2 linked regions of the Coturnix japonica genome follow. The protein of the gene in region 2 interacts with the protein of the main gene of each other region in a pairwise test. Links are inferred from orthologs where the notes say so. Each region holds a gene or a part of one and is shown on either strand. Other genes may lie near its edges. The genes, in order: PHOSPHO2 and NAB2.

What was found.
Region 1: the proteins of NAB2 (region 2) and PHOSPHO2 interact in binary tests that used the Homo sapiens proteins (3 or more experiments, as listed by UniProt). The two-hybrid records come from large-scale screens. The link is inferred for Coturnix japonica from reciprocal best matches to the Homo sapiens genes NAB2 and PHOSPHO2.

What each region holds. Positions count from the first base shown.
Region 1 is NC_029522.1:16,264,046-16,268,409, forward strand, and holds the start of PHOSPHO2 (pyridoxal phosphate phosphatase PHOSPHO2), read left to right. Parts: upstream 1-1,543; 5' UTR 1,544-1,986; intron 1,987-2,202; exon of another isoform or gene 2,203-2,403; coding exon of another isoform or gene 2,404-2,706; intron 2,707-3,396; coding exon of another isoform or gene 3,397-3,561; intron 3,562-4,012; coding exon of another isoform or gene 4,013-4,205; intron 4,206-4,364. Other genes in the region: coiled-coil domain-containing protein 173-like, read right to left, coding at 190-346, 1,122-1,219; CCDC173 (coiled-coil domain-containing protein 173), read right to left, coding at 2,404-2,706, 3,397-3,561, 4,013-4,205. UniProt on the Homo sapiens protein: Phosphatase that has high activity toward pyridoxal 5'-phosphate (PLP).
Region 2 is NC_029544.1:1,653,701-1,658,147, reverse strand, and holds the start of NAB2 (NGFI-A-binding protein 2), read left to right. Parts: upstream 1-1,457; 5' UTR 1,458-2,266; intron 2,267-2,824; 5' UTR 2,825-2,832; coding exon 2,833-3,618; intron 3,619-3,703; coding exon 3,704-3,837; intron 3,838-4,228; coding exon 4,229-4,280; intron 4,281-4,431; coding exon 4,432-4,447. Other genes in the region: NEMP1 (nuclear envelope integral membrane protein 1), read right to left, coding at 1-29, 665-731. UniProt on the Homo sapiens protein: Acts as a transcriptional repressor for zinc finger transcription factors EGR1 and EGR2. Isoform 2 lacks repression ability.

The sequences.
Region 1 (4,364 bases), on a different chromosome or scaffold from region 2:
TTTCAAGGGGCCCCTCTCAAAAGAGGAAAGGAACAATACTGCCTACAGCTGGCAAGGCAGGGGGCTATGACCCAGCATTACTGAAGCTACCAGCAAACCTTCTGCTGCCAAGAGACCCATTTATTCACAGTCCCAATGCATGTGCTTCATGGTGAAGCAAATAATGAACTTTCTCCCTCTGTTACTTACATGATACTGCCTCTGGTGTTCAAGTTTCTCCTCCCGTTCCTCTTCTTTTCCTCTCTGAATTTCCATTTGGTACAACTGGCTCTGCCTTTGTATTTTTTCACCTTCTCTTTTGTTTTCCTGCTTGGCCAGGTCTGCCAGATGCTTGTGCTCCTCTATTCTGAAACAGAAAAGGAAGAAAGCTAACGGCCTGGGGACTTCGTGACACAGGGAACAGATTGGAATACTTCACATCTACAGGTACTTGAACATTGAACAATCTGATACTTTGAAGTGAAAGCAGAACATCTGATCAAAATAGAATCATGTTTTTTAAAACAGTAGCAACAAAGCTGAGCACCAGCACAAAAAGTAAGAGTAGAAATTTACTGATTAAGTTAATCCTAGCAAAAGCAAACGTGACCAGCAAATGGACTTGAATGACAGCCTGCATTCGATTCACTTGTTCAACAGCTGGCCCGCTCCCTGCACAAGTTCAGCTTTAGAGCACAGCCTTCTGAGCAATGCTACAGCGCGGGCCGAGGCACAGGAGCGGTCATCAGCCCACCCCGTCACACTGATGTATGAATCACTGTGGGGAAACGACAAGAATGACAAGTTTTGCCCCAGGGAGACAAACCGCTTGTTCTCGGCACCAGAACACCACTCCCTTTGTTTAGCTGACTTGAGCAGACGTTGCCACCGCCAGCAAAAGGCGTTTCTGGAGCCGCAGAACTGACTTCAGCAGCGTTTCTGTGCTTCCCGGCCCACCGCAGCAGCGGGGCTGAACGTAGCGCGTTACAACGGGCGGCTCGAGCACACGCGGTCCCTCCGTCCAGCGCGGCATCACCGTGCCGATGGCGGGCAGCCCGAGACACGGCCCGTGGGCATTGCTGACATCCGACAGGCTTTTTAACACGAGCCCCGACTCGGGACGCCCCGAGGCCCCGACTCACTGCGCCAGCTGCTCTCTGGCCACCGCCCGGCGCTCCATGTAGCGGCCGTGCTCCCGCTCCACCTCCCGCTGCTCGGCGCCCGGCTGCTCGTGCTCCATCGGCAGCTTCCGCCGAGACAAAGAAAATCAGGTTCCCGGTTCTTCACCAGCGGTGACAGCCGCCCCGACGGACGCGCTCTTTTCTCTGTTTCCAGAGCGGGAGCGCCTCGGCCCCGCACGGCTCTGAGGCAGCGGGCAGCACTACCGGGCAGAGACACGACAACAGCAGTGAAGAGATGGGAACGCCCTGGCTCCGATGGCGGCACGGCCCCGCCCCGGCGCTGCTGGCGGGCCCTAGGGATGCATCAGGCGGGAGCCGCCCTGCCGGGCCTGAACGCGGGAGCGGAGCGACAGGGCTCGTCCTCATCGTTCCTAAGTTCTCCCCTTTCTCCTGCATGGAAGATCAAAGTGGAAATGTCTTGTTCAGAGCCCAGGATAATGCAGAAGTTGTTACATGAAATCCTAACTCTGCCCACTTCGCACAATAGAAATGCAAAGAAAATCTCAAGAAGTGTGATGTGTGTGTGGCTTTGTGCAACAGAGTAAGCTCCAAAGAGTTCTGTGCTCCCTGAGAAACAGTTTTAGATCTGAATTTGCCTACTGCAGATTGCACGTTATTCTTTTTTGCAAGAACCATCAAACTGTGTTGTTTCTTATTGCCACGGTATTTTTGTCATAACTGTTTATAACTACATTGGGACTTACTTGTCTTCTGGATAACCAAATTTGTCTCTGACCAGCTTACATCCTTACTTCTACAAGACTATTTGCAGCAAAACATTAATTTTACAGAGACAGTTGCAAAGCACTACAGAAACTGCAGTAACGTAAGTATTCTGACTTTTGTGTGCATTCTTGCCCTGCTGATTCTGAGAGGGCCTTTGGCTGGAATGGGTAATGTTGATGCTCAAAATTATATGTAATGCATTCCTATTATGATTTGTTATTATATGAAACCATAACTCTGTTCACATCACGTGAAATGTGATGGAAATATTTCAGCAAAGAAACAGCTTACAACTTTTATAAAATACAAGTTGGTGTTTTTTTTAGAACATACTTAATTCTACAGAATTTATTTTTTTCAAAGGGACTTTCAGATTCATAGCACAAATTTAATGTAGATCCATTTACAGTTTTGATGGAAGATTCAAGGTTCCAGAAGTTGGTTGTTTTTTGTTTTTAACCACATAAAAACTACTTTTGCCTTTCCTTGCTGGATAGTCTCAGTGTTCGTTCATAGGTTAAACTTCTTCAGCAGTAGTCTTGCTACAACAAGGTAACTGGGTCTCAGCAGCATCCTGTGCTTGAAAACCTGGATTTGTTCCTTCACTTTCTATGGAAAATGGGCTACCTCCAAATCCTATTATTTCTTTGGAAGCTTTCAGGAGAGGATAGAGATGATGTGTAGTCTTGGACTCTGATTCAATTACTTGCTTTGCATACTTCTGAAATTCTTGTTCTCTATGGAGCGCAATAAGCTCTGTCTCAATATCGTAGTCCAAGTCTGCTTGCTTCTCCTGCTGTATTTTTGCCTTCTTTTCTGCCTGAGGAAGAAAAGTCTTGTGTCATTAGTGATAGGACCAGAGGGAATGGTTTCAAGCTACAGCAGGGGAGATTCAGGCTGGACATTAGGAGGCATTACTTCTCAGAAAGGGTGGTCAGGCATTGGAATGGACTGCCCAGGGAGGTGGTGGAGTCACCGACCATGGGGGTATTCAAGGAAAGACTGGATGTTGTGTTGAGTGACATGGTTTAGTGGGAGCTATTAGGTTATTTCTTTAGTGGGAGATATTATAGGTGAACAGTTGGACTAGATGATCTTTTAGGTCTTTTCCAACCTTGGTGATTCTATGATTCTATGGAAAGTAAACAAATAGAGAATAACAAAGCTTAGTATTTTTTTTACAACAGAATTGTCTGTTAAAATTTAGAGAGGGTAAGTCCTTCCCCAGTTCATTCCTGGTTCACCTCACCACAGGAAAGTGTACACTGAGTAGCTGAATAAGCATCAGCATTTGCTGCTGTTCCTTGAGGATCTGCCCAGAAGACACCAGGGGACAGCAGCCATACATAATGACACAGAATGGGATGTGATGTGTCATTGCAAACCAGCCTTCACTCATGCAACACTCCTTGACAGGAAAGGGTTTGCATGGGTGACTCCCACACTGACTAACACTGTCAGGTTCATGCTCCTTTTTAAGGCTCTGGAAGGGTATGGCACTTCCATTTACCATTTGCTGGATCTGAAATTTCTGTACTTCTATGCTTGCATCACGTTGTCTTTGTTTCTTGGCTTTTTCTGTTTGTAGATAGATCTGGTTCTTTTCCACAAATGATTGAAGTTCTTTTTTACTTTCTGCTTTTTCCTCTCTCTCCTTCTCCAATTTCCTCTTCACCTGCATTTTATAAAATAGAGGGGGTTAACCAGATAGTTACCCTGCTAGTCTGAGGAGCCATGCCTCCAGGCTAGATCCAGATGCAATAACAATGCAGTCCCACACCAGTGCTCTGATGTGCTGGGTCATGGCAGCTACACTCTGTCCAGGCCCAGTTTCTGGCAGCACTGACAGACTCCTTGGCCTCAGGAAGCAGGGATGAGACTGAGAAGTATTTGCACAAATTACTAATGATTACAGAACTTTCAAACTCAAACAGATGAACCCAGGTACCTTGTGGCTTGCTTAAGGTGTTAGATGTATAACTGTAAATGGTAAATATGAGAGACAGCTCCTGATAACTTGTGGGTATGTCTCACTAACAGTTAGCACACTAAAAACCACAGTGTTCCTAGAAGGTACTCCTAAGTACACGCCAGAGACAGGGATGAGAACAGGTTAGCTTTCTTACCACAGTGGCTCTATATTCAGCAATAGATTCAATGGCAGCCTTTTTTTTTGCTTCTTTCTCTTTCTGTTCTTTTTCATACGCAGCTTCTTTTCTTGCAATGTCTCTAGCAAGACGCTCATCTTCCATCTTCAGTGCTACATTCATTTGGGCAGCTAATTGACTAACAATTTTATCCTGGCGTTCCTGTTTTATTCTGCAGAAGAACATGAGTATTCATAACACATGCACCTCGTCTACATGAAGCACTGCTTCTACCAAACCCAGCCTTCTGGCTGCCTCTCATCTCTTCCTGCCAAAATCTGGCCCACCCACTCCACTTCTTCATCTCCTTGTATTGCTCCTGTTTTTGTTT
Region 2 (4,447 bases):
CCCCAGCACCGTCCCCATCCCACCGGCATCTTCACAGCACAGAAAGGAAGGAAGAATTAACACAATAGCGATGCGAGACCCCCCCCCCCCAACACCCCCTCCCCATTTGCGGGCTGCTCCCCCCCAAAGGGCCCCATTGGGTGCACATGGAGGCAGGACCACCCCTTAACCAGGACCCCAACACAGGACCCCCAACCAACGGCACCCTCAACACCCCCCCATTCTCGCACTCTCCATCCCCCCATCTCACACCGCCCTTAACCCAGACAGCCCTCAACCCGAGACCCCCAACCCCTCTCCCCCATCTCATCCATTTCCCCCCCGTTTCCCCCAGCCCCACACAGACCCCAACCCGGACCATACTCACTCCCCCCCCCCATCTTCCATCTCCATTCTCCATCTCCCATCCCCCTGGTTCCCCCCAGTCCCGCCCTCACCCGGGGACCCCCACCACCCCCCATCTCCACCGCATTCCCCCAGCCCACAACCAGAGCCCTTACACCGGACCAGGCCCCCAAACCCGGAGACCCCAACCCCCCGCCATCCCCACCCGAGACTCTAAAGCCGGATCCAGGCTATGGCCGCTCTATGACTCCATTATAGGCCCCCACTAGGCCCGCCCGCTCTCAGCCCATAAAGGCCCATTGTTCCGCCCGCCGCTCACCGGCCCCGCCCGGCGGAGGAGGCAGCGCGAGGAGCAGCAAGAAACACGACCAGGCCCCGCCCGCCATATTGGCACCGCTTTCATCCGCTTTCCCGCCATGGCGTTCCCGGCGACTTCCGCTTCCGCTTTCCCCACGGGACAACACCCAATGAGAGAGCGAGGCTTGCCTGACGTCATCAACCCGTGACGGGATTATCGTCTCCCTGCGTGTTGATTGACAGCGCGCTCGACCTATCAGCACAGCCTAGGCAGGATGCGGATTTAGCCCCACCCACACTCCACCAACGTGCTCCACTCGCTCCCGAAGCCATCCCACACCGTAGGCAACGCAGCCCGCCTTAGCAACGAGCTTGGACAGAGCAAGCCCACCTCAACCAATCAGCCGCTCAGCATCGTTTTCTCCCTCCCTCGCCACCAAGCCGGCTTGATTGACAAGCTCCTCCACCTTATTCACGGAGCGCACCGTCGTTGTTTTGCTTGGGGGGGGGGGTCTACAGCGGGCAGAGGCAGCGCGATGCTCATTGGACCCCACACTGGGGGGGGGGTGGCTCGTAGGGGCTGGATCCCGGGCTTGTTAACCCCCCCCCCCCAATACCCTTGGGCTCTTCGGCATTCCGTGGGCGGGTCGGGCTCACGGGCCGGCCCCCGGGTCAGTGGGCGGCGGAGCCGGAAGCGTGCGGGTCGTGGTGGAGGATGTGCGTCAAACGGGGGCGGCCGGACACGAGGGGGGGGGGGGGGTTGGACATGCATGGCCCTGGGGGGGGGGTCTTAGGGATTCGGACATAGATGGGGTCTATATGGGGTTCGGAATATATGGGCTCTATATGGGCTCTATATGGGCTGTTCCGAACGGGACCCCCCCCCACCTCCCCCCGACGGCTCCGGAACGCGGCGCTGTCGTGTCCCCCCCCCCCACGCGGGGCAGGGGCCGCGGGGGCGGCGGCGCCGGCTCGGTATAAATAGAGCCGGGCTCAGCATGGGGGGGGGGGGGCGATGGCAGAGAAATTCCTCCCCTCCCACGAACCGAACCGGACCCGCTCTGTCCCGGGGCTGCTCGCTCTGAAGCCCCCCCCCCACCCGGTGCCCGGACCCGGCTGCGATCCCATAACCGGGAGGTGGCACCGACACGGTGACAGCCGTGATCCCACTCACATACGGTGTCCCCCCCCCACCCCCCGTAGGCTCCGGTTGCTCGAGCCCCTGCCCGGGACCCCCAACCCCCGTGTCTTCACGTTGCTCTGCCCGACGGGACCCCCCGGTTCCGCCCTGCTCGCAGCCGCTCCCTCCGTCCCGGTTCGGTTCAGGGGGGGGGATGGGGCGGTCCTACGGTTCCCCCCCCCCCGTTTCATCCTCCCACGCCGCGCTCAGCGGGGGCGGCAGCCGCGGGTTCCGCCTCCGGAGCCTCCCACGCCGCAGCCGCAGCCGGGGCCGCTGCTATTTCTCGGTACCGCCCGTGTGGGCGGCGCGCAGAGCGGAGCGACTCGGCGGAGCGAACGAGCACGGCCCGGAATCGGGACCCCCGAACACCCCCCCGAGCCCCCCGGTACCGTCCGTCCATGCCCACGGGGTTCGCGTAGCGGCCGGACGGGGCTGCAGCCCGCGGTGAGAGAACGGGAGGGAAACGGGGGGGGGGTCGGAGGGTGAGTCGTGACATCGGTGTCCCCGTGGGGTTGGGGTAGAGCTGGGTGTGTTTTGTTGCACGTGGGGTGGGGGCACGAGTGGGTTCGTGATGTGGGAATGGTGGGGGGGGGTTTATGGTTCTGCCGTGGGGACCCACTCGTGTCTGTGTTGGGATCAGGGGGGATGCGGGTGTGGGGTCCAGCCTGATCAGTGAGCACGCGTGGGCCTGGGTGCAAGGTGGGGTCTGTAGGGGCCAAAGAGGGGGGGGCTGAGACTTTGCTGTCCCCGTGGGGTAGAGAAGGACTGGGGCAGCCCTGGGTGTGCTCTGCCCTAAGCGGTGCCCCATGGGGTGGGAGCACGGGTGGGGCCACGGGGTGTGGGGTCTCCAAGCTCCTCAATGGGGACCCACTCGTGTTTGTGTTGGGGTCGGTGCAGCTGTGGATGCTCAGTGGAGACCCCAGGCCAAAAGGTGGGTGGGGGTGGGGGGGGTCCGTCCGTCCGTCCTTCCCCCGTCACGCCGTCCGTCCGTCTGTCCCATAGGCTTCACCATGGCCGTGCCCCGCACGCTGGGGGAGCTGCAGCTGTACCGGGTTCTTCAACGTGCCAACCTGCTGGGTTACTACGAGACCTTCATCCAACAAGGAGGGGACGACGTGCAGCAGCTTTGCGAGGCTGGCGAGGAGGAGTTCTTAGAGATCATGGCGCTGGTGGGAATGGCCACCAAACCGCTGCACGTCCGCCGACTGCAGAAAGCGCTGCGGGAGTGGGCGTCCAACCCGGGGCTCTTCAGCCAGCCGGTACCGGCCGTGCCCGTCAGCAGCATCCCCCTCTTCAAGCTGAACGACGGCCGCAAATCGCTCAGTAACGGGCACAGCAGCCCCGGAGAAACTGCGGGGAAAGGGGGGGGCAACGCGGGGACGCCCCCAGCCCGCAGCCCAACGGAGCCGTCGGAGAAGTTGTCGCCGTCGGGGGTGTCGCCGTGGCCGGGGAGGAGCACCCCGGAATCGGAGGGTGGAGGGGATGAGGAGCCCGGAGCTCCTCCGTTCTCACCGGGGGGCGCCGAGCAGCCGTCGGGGGGCGATGTGTTGGAACCGGAGTTGGTGCGGACGGTGACGGAGAGCGTGGAGAGGCTGCTGCAGAGCTGCCCCCGGGGGGGGGACGCGGAGCTGCGGGCTCTGTTGAAGCTCAATAAGAAGTTGGCCAAAGCCGTGGGGCACATCTTCCAACTGGAAGACGGAGACCGGCACAAGGAGGAGGAGATCCGACGGCACAGCGCGATCTACGGGCGAGGGGATGCGCGGCGAAGGGAGGGCAAACAGCTGACACTGCACGAGGTGGGGGGCGGGGTGGGGGTCGGGCTGGGCTGGGGGCTCGCTGTGACCCCCCCCCTCGGTGCTATTGACGGCTCTGTCCCCGCAGCTCATCATTAACGAGGCTGCGGCTCAGTTCTGCCTGCGGGACAATTCGCTGCTGCTGCGGCGCGTCGAGCTGTTCTCGCTGTCGCGACAGGTCGCGAGGGAGAGCACCTACCTGTCCTCGCTCAAGGTGTCCAGGTGAGCAGGGGGGGCCCTCAGCATCCCCCCCCCCCCCCAGTGGGGGTTTCCCCTATGGGAGCTGCACCACCGGCAATTCCGGGCGGGGGTGGGGGCTGCGAGTTCCCCTTTCCATTGCTGAGGCAGTTTGGTGCCTCAATGTGTGTGTGTTGGGGGGGGGGGCACAGCACAGGGGATGCTGTTGGAGCCCCCAGTCCCGAGCTCCTTTCCCCCCCCCCACCTCCATAAGCTGGCGCTGCTCTGCTCCCTCCCCCTGCCCCCCCCGCCCCGGTTCCATCTGTACCAGACCCCGCTGTGCCCCACAGCACCGCCCCATAACGTGAGTGGGGGGGGGGAACCGTGCGGTGCTGCCCCCGCACTGACGCAGCCCTTTGTGCTCCCACCCGCACAGGGCGCAGCCCGAGGACGGCGGGGCCGGCGCGGCCAAGCGGCTCAAACAGGAGGTGGGTGCGGGGGGGGGATGCGTGTATCGGGGGGGGGCACACGCGTGTGCGTGCATGCACAGCTGTGAGCGTGGGCAGCGGCCGCCCACGTGTAGGTGTGACGGCTCGGGGGGGGGGGGGAGCCCGGTGTTCACCCGTGTGCTCCGTGCAGGTGGGGGAGCAGAGCC